2 linked regions of the Rattus norvegicus genome follow. The protein of the gene in region 1 purifies or fractionates together with the protein of each later gene. This does not show direct contact. Links are inferred from orthologs where the notes say so. Each region holds a gene or a part of one and is shown on either strand. Other genes may lie near its edges.

The links. Proteins that work in one complex are often made in the same cells at the same time.
Region 2: the proteins of Ngfr (region 1) and Ndn purify together in Homo sapiens (affinity purification with western blotting; 3 studies listed by BioGRID). This does not show direct contact. The link is inferred for Rattus norvegicus from reciprocal best matches to the Homo sapiens genes NGFR and NDN.

The regions. Positions count from the first base shown.
Region 1 is NC_086028.1:81,027,506-81,031,504, forward strand, and holds the start of Ngfr (tumor necrosis factor receptor superfamily member 16 precursor), read right to left. Parts: upstream 2,801-3,999; 5' UTR 2,688-2,800; coding exon 2,619-2,687; intron 1-2,618. UniProt on the Homo sapiens protein: Low affinity receptor which can bind to NGF, BDNF, NTF3, and NTF4. Forms a heterodimeric receptor with SORCS2 that binds the precursor forms of NGF, BDNF and NTF3 with high affinity, and has much lower affinity for mature NGF and BDNF.
Region 2 is NC_086019.1:125,259,765-125,263,158, forward strand, and holds Ndn (necdin), read left to right. Parts: upstream 1-1,294; 5' UTR 1,295-1,361; coding exon 1,362-2,339; 3' UTR 2,340-2,894; downstream 2,895-3,394. UniProt on the Homo sapiens protein: Growth suppressor that facilitates the entry of the cell into cell cycle arrest.

The sequences.
Region 1 (3,999 bases):
ACGGGGCAGCGTCTAATTTACCCAGCCAGTGGCAGTCCAGGACCACACCCCCTCTCGTGGGGAAGCTGAAAAGGAACTGCGCAGAAGGAAGACTAACGCAACGACCACCTCTGCTTTCTAAGTTGGGGAGCCTAGTACCCTGCCTAAATTTCCTGGGGGTCAGCCTCCTCGCCTGTAAAATGGGAATCACTAAATTTACCTTGCAGGCACCTAAGGAATACATAACATAAAAGTACCCAAGACAGTGCAGGTCATAGTAAGCACCTCACCGATTTTATTGTGACTGCCCTTCCAACTCATACCCCTAGGGAGGAGCGAGGTGCTACAGTCAGAAGGGCTGGCCAGGTAGGGTGGAGCCATCTAACCACCCACCCTCCACAGCAGCCTCGACGCTCACGCTGCCCATTTGCTGCCTACGCTGCTGCACCCCTATTAGGAGCATTAGCCAGCCGGGCGGCTCCGGTTACAGACGTCTGAATGACAAAGTGCCTCCATTACCGGCGCGGCCCGCCAGCAGACTCGCCGGGTTGCGCTCTGGTTTCAGCACTCTCTCGGCGGCGCAGGAAGAGGCTCGGACGGCGGAGGAACGCAGAACCCGCTCTAGCCGAACAGCCTGGAGAAAGCAGAGCCATAGGGGCTCAAGTCCGAAGGTTCTGTCAAGGTTCAGAGGCCACGCCCTCACCCCTCCAGGATCAGAATCACACAGCGCCCCAGGCCCTCTTCCCCAGCCAACCTTAAGGAGGACCAAGGAGCACCTCTAACCAGAGGCATTAGTTAGCAAACACCTTTGCTGTCACTCCCAGGTCCCCGGAGGACTCCGCAAGTACTGATAGCTCCAGGGAACCGTGTGTGAGGTTGAGGATGAGAGCTTGAGAGGGTTCACCATTCGATCGCCTTCATATCCCACCTCCTGCCTATCCTTTGGGATGGTGTCACCATCCCTGCTGTGAAACGAAGCGGACTAGCTGCCGCCCCTGCCCACCTACGCCCCCCCCCCCAGATGCTCTCTTGAATAGAGGGAGTACAGAGCTGGAATGGGGTGGCCACCCAGCCACAGGGCTCTGGCTTGTGAGATCTTAACCAACTTGTTTAAACTCCGAAGTCCCTGCCTCCTTATCAGTAGGATGGAGATTGGGGGGGGGGGGGGGCGGCAGTGCTCGCAGGAAGGAAACGGTGGAGGGAAGAGTAAGGACGCCACTTTCATTGCTAACCTTCCTTAAGATCTGGTCAGAAATACCTAGAGAACTCGGGTTCATAGAAGGAGGACCCGATGACCTTAGCTGGAACAGCAATCCGACAGAATGCCAGGTATCCAAGCGGCCCCTGTCTCATTTGAGAAGGGTTCATTGACTTTTACCGAAAGCCTGGCCAGGTGTGGGCGGGATGATGATCCTGTTAAGTTCCTTACCGGAAGGAGCGCGGAGGGCGCAGGGCGGGTGGCCGCTTAACTTAGAAGGGGTGCAGTGCGCAGCCCTAGGCGCACACGCAGCTCCCATAGCAATCCCTCACCCGCAGTGCCCCCTGCGGGTCGCCTGGGGTTTTTGCATCCCCGAGCTATGCGCTGCCGGAACCATCACCGCCTTGAGAGTCCTAGCGCTCGCATCCCAAGAGCCCGCTGGCATCTGATAGGGTAAGGGGATGTCCTGGCTCTGTCTCTCCAAGTCCACTGCGTTGCTTCAAAGCGTATGAAAGGTTTGCCAAGGAACCATCCTGGAAGCGGATTTGTCACAGTGAAGTGGGCGCTCCCCTCCCAGCCTGGGATGCCCAGACGCAATTCCCGGACTGGGCGAGGCCGCTAGAAAGAGTGCTAGAACCCACGCGGGAAACCTCTGTGACTCGGCTGTCCTCATCGCACCGACCTTGAGTAGACAGGCGGGGCCCTGAGCACTTCAGGGTCTGCACCGGCTTTCCACCTCTCTATCTCTTTAGTGGCTGTCTCTTTTCTGCCCTCCATAAATTCTACTTCTCTCTCTTCAACCTCTCTGCCACTCCCGAATCGTTCCTTTCGACGCCCCTCCCCCCCATTGTCTGGCCGGTCCCCATTGTCCATACCGGGTCCCCTCCGCCTCCAGTCCCTCTAGCCGCCTCCCCCATTGTTCCGTCTCTAGCCCCTCACATCTCTAGCGCTGATCTCTTCCCCTTCCTTCTCTCGCGCCGGATTCTGTCCTACAACTCCCCAGGGACTAAGATGCTAAAGAGAAAACTCCCCGCGGGATCCCAGAATTCACATGCTGTCGTCAGAAGAACCCAGGCGCCTGAGATTTCCAAACCTCCCTCCAACCCCCGCCCCTGAGAAACTGCTCCCAGTCCCCTACACCGCACCCACCGTAGTGCCCAAGGACCACCACCAGCGGTACCAGCAGCACCAAGAACCAGCATCGTTACAACACTCCTGCCTGCATCTCTATCCTGGGACTGGGTCGCCTCTGCGCTCGCTCTGAAAGTCCTAGAAGCTAGGAGCGCCCCTGTGAGTCACCGCCCCGCAGCTCCTCCGCCACCCGTTCCCAACATCTGGGACCTTGACGTCCTATTCTGTTCTCTGGGTGGTGGCACCCAGGTCTCCTTGGGGTTCAGCTCTTTGAAAAGGTCAACAGGAGTCCCTCCTGCTAACCACTTACCCCTAGAATCAGCAGCAGCAGCAGGCGCAGCCGGTCCATGGCGCTGCAGGCAGCACCTGCCCTCCTCATTGCACGCCTCCGGCGTCAGCGCTCCGCTTCTAGCTCAGTCCGCTCCGCAGACCGATGGTGCTGCGCTGAGCTGAACTGCGCTGCGCTCCAGCGCCTGCTGCCCGCCGGAGCTGGCGGAGGCTCCACTCGCTCTGGCTGCGGGCGGGCGGGAGCAGCTGGGTGAAGGCAATGCAGCAGCCCCGCCTCCTCCCCGCCCAGCCCGCCCAACTACCCCCCCCCCCAACCGTCCGGAACCGCGCCCGCCCGGCTGCCTGGGGTGTGGAGTCCGGAGCAGCCAAGTGAGGCGTGCGAGGAGCCGCACCCGTGTGCCCCGCTGCGGCTTCTCTGTGGGCTGTCCCACATACCCAGTGCACCGCTGGTTATGCCGAGCATCAGTCCCGGATGCTGCGGATCCAGCAGGGGGCCACTGCTCTCCTACTGATGAGGCCTGCCTCGGGGTTCACTCTCTTAAACGCCTTCTTCAGCCTCTCGGTTGATTCCTAGTTCCCTACCTAGCCCTTATTCCGAAAATGAGGCTGCCTTCCTTTTACGGTTGGGTATACACTTTATTCCATCTTCTCTCGGCTGCTCCTTCCCACTTGTGGAGGGATATGTTCCTTGGGGCATTCAAAGTGAAATCTATCCCAATATCACTATTTGAGATCCCTGTCTCTGTCTTTCTGTCCCTGACTCTCTGTCTCTCTCTGTCTCTCCCTGTCTCTGTCTCTTGGTCTCTCTCTCTGTCTCTGCCTCTGTCTCTCTGTCTCTGTCTCTTGGTCTCTCTCTCTCTGTCTCTCTCTCTGTCTCTGTCTCTTGGTCTCTCTCTCTGTCTCTGTCTCTCTGTCTCTGTCTCTCTGTCTCTACCTCTGTCTCTGTCTCTCTCTCTCTACACACACACACACACACACACACACACACACACACACACACAGAGGATAGAACCTAGGACCTTACAAATGCCAAGCAAGCATCGTATCATGGGGCTACATCTCCAGCCTTTCCTGAGCTTGAAGGACTCCCAGGTGTGCACATACAACCCAGGAATACACAAACACACTCTCAAGCACGCCTGTGCTCATGTACTGACATCTGCTCGTACCATCCTCAGGCGCTCATATAAACCCACTTATCCTACAAGGGTTCCTAAGACATACATCAACGCACACATGATGACATTCACATACACACCCCTACACATTCACATGTGCACGGTGCACAGTGATGTTCACGCAAGCCCATACCTGTATTTAGCCCTCGAATGTACACACTCATGAGTATACAAGCCACACACAAACATGATCACACGAGCTTCGGAGCTTCCCACAGGCAGAGA
Region 2 (3,394 bases), on another chromosome or scaffold:
GCATAATTTTAAGATGTTTTAAACTTGAGGAACTCAAAGAAGGGCTAAGGAATTCCATTATTTCAGAATAAGAAAGATGATCAAATTTAAGGACTTCTGGCTTTGGAAGCTTCAACCATGGTCATTGCATAAAGGAAAGTTCGAGGAAATATCAGGTTCAGGTTACCTCCTCTCAATCTACATTTTTTATTTATGAACACCAATATGCTGCCTCTCATTTATGAAAGAATGTTAGATATTATCCAAAAGAATTGCATTTGAAAGATATTGGGAAAGATTTGGACGTGCGCCCAACATGGAATTAGTCATTTGCTAATGACGTAATGCAAGACGTGGAAGATTTCTTATAAACATGAAGATGTAACAGCAGTAAGCAGGGGGAAAGGGCACTGGGAGTGCATGAAAAATACACTATCATAAAATGTGTATTAATAAACATGTTGATCATTTCCCACTAGATTCTTAAGGGAATTTCTAAATGAAATCAAAGTGACCTAATAGAAATGCAGAGCCCAAATCCATAGTTATTAAAATAATTGTAAGCCAACAAACTAAGAATCCAACGATGAATGAATACATATAAATAATTTTATATATCTGTTTTGTTCATGTGGGACCTGGGGTTTAAACTCAGGTTCATGCTTGAACTGCAACAGCTCTTGCCCACTGAACCAAGTCCCATTTTAATTAAAATTTTAGACGCACATCAATTATGTTATATGAATCTACTTCTAAAACATTAAATTCTCACATGGATTGATTTCCAGTGTCTGTAACTATACTTTGCATTCTTCCTTGTTTGATACTGCTCAGATTTGTAACGATTTATCTCTATTAATAATTTCTCAACATTCTGATATTAGACAACACATCATCATCATCATCATCATCATCATCAGGTATGACTTTCCAAGAAAAGGTTATTTTTGTCTCTCCTATTCTTTTGTGGAAAACTCAAATTCAAGAATTAGTCTTCTTCCTCCAGGACCTTCACACTTAACTCAGTGTGTCGGAACTTAACTTCACCATCTCAGCTATATCTTTCTCCTTCAACTTGTTTCTTTCCCCACTATCACCCATCTCTGTCCCATACAGGAGACCAGGAGATCCTTTTCATAATACTAGTGGTACCCTCCCTTAGACCCCAGTGGTTGGGCTTTGCTACTTCGCTCCTATCCAGCCCTACCACCCTTCTGGCTTCCCACTACGCATGCGCAATATAGCGTCTGCCCCGCCCGGCCCGCTGCTGCGGAAGGCGCAGTGCTCAGTAAAGCGCACTTCCTCTGCTAGTATCCACTGAGGCAGTGCAGGCTCCGAGAGCTCCGAGTCGCAGCGGTCCTGCTCTGATCAAAAGACGCAGAATGTCGGAACAAAGTAAGGACCTGAGCGACCCTAACTTTGCCGCTGAGGACCCCGACACTGAGATGCAGGTCAGCGATGCTGTTCCGGTGGGGGTCCCTCCTCCCGCTCCTCTGGCCGCGAACCTCTCAGGGCCATCGTGCGCTCCGGAAGGCCCTATGGCAGCCCCACAGGCCTCGCCACCACCTGCAGAACGGTTTGAAGAGGTTGACCCTAAGATCCTGCAGCAGGCCGCAGAAGAGGGCCGCGCCCACCAGCCCCAGAGCCCAGCCCGGCCGATCCCAGCACCGCCGGCCCCTGCCCAGCTGGTGCAGAAGGCGCACGAGCTCATGTGGTACGTGTTGGTCAAGGACCAGAAGAGGATGGTCCTCTGGTTTCCAGACATGGTGAAAGAGGTCATGGGCAGCTACAAGAAGTGGTGCAGAAGCATCCTCAGGCGCACCAGCGTCATCCTCGCCAGAGTTTTCGGGCTGCACCTGAGGCTGACCAATCTCCACACCATGGAGTTCGCCCTGGTCAAAGCACTCAGCCCAGAAGAGCTGGACAGAGTCGCGCTGAACAACCGTATGCCCATGACAGGTCTCCTGCTCATGATCCTGAGTCTCATCTATGTGAAGGGCCGCGGGGCCAGAGAGGGTGCGGTCTGGAATGTGCTGCGCATCCTGGGGCTGAGGCCCTGGAAGAAGCACTCCACCTTCGGAGATGTGAGAAAGATTATCACCGAGGAGTTCGTCCAGCAGAATTACCTGAAGTACCAGCGTGTGCCCCACATCGAGCCTCCCGAGTACGAGTTCTTCTGGGGCCCCAGAGCTAACCGTGAAATCACCAAGATGCAGATCATGGAGTTCCTGGCCAGAGTCTTTAAGAAGGATCCCCAGGCTTGGCCTTCCCGCTACAGAGAGGCTCTGGAGCAGGCCAGAGCTCTGCGGGAGGCTAATCTTGTCGCCCAGGCCCCCCGCAGCAGTGTCTCTGAGGACTAAAATGTCCAGGAGCACATTGATAGTTTCTGACCCATACTAGGGCTGTGTAAGGGTGGGGTTGGACATTAGAGTATCCCAGATTCATAGTGCAGTATTTCATGTATAGTTTTTAAGTTTTCCATCCAGTGCTTTTTTTATCTTGTAATGCAATGTATTCAGTTGTGTACTCGTGTAGTGTTTAAAATTGATGCATGTGTGTTTTATAAGTGAGCAAGTTGGTACTTTCACTTCTGTGCTTTCTTGGATTTTTGTACAAGAGATGTGCTGTGCTAAACTTGTGAAATACATTGAGGTGTTCTGTATCTTGTTCTTTGAATGGGACTGATGGTCCGTATCGACAAAGAAGGCCCTGGAGAGTTAGCAGGACTTAACAACAACACAGACCTGACCAAGAGAAAGGTCAGGGTCCCTCTCCATATGACTCCAACTGGCACAGGAAACATCCATGTGGAATGGACTGATTTGAACTGGACTGTTTTCAGTTTAAGCACTTAGCACACTTTGCAAAACATGTATCCAACCCCACCATAAATAAACTTTAAAATGAGCATTAAATATACCGTGAAATAATTTCTTTGTTTGGGGGGGAGGCATTTATTTTGGTGAAAGGGGGAATGGGAGTGGGTAGGGATGAGAAAGATTCTCCCCGTGTACAACATGAGCAAGTATACTTCTAACAGAGTGGGAAAACACCACTCATAACCACTCAGAAGTTTTTTGAAAATTGTGGTGCTTCAAGAAATTGGTCACATTAAAGGCGTGATAACAAAAAAAGGCATGTTCACATAACGTGGGAATAATAACAGGAATTATGTAGGGACTGTCCCTTTTCTGTTTTGTTTTGTTTTGTTTTTTTGTTTTAAATAGTCTTTGGTGGGCACTTTAACAGAATGAAATATTGCTACTAAACCCTCGTTGTGCATTTTCTTCTTTATTTTATCCTCCCACCAGCCATAAGAAGTAAGGAATGACTGTATCAGCACAAAGCAAGAAAAATGAAAGGATGCTGGTAATGAAATACCCTAAAAATCATAGACCTTATACTGGAGTCTTGA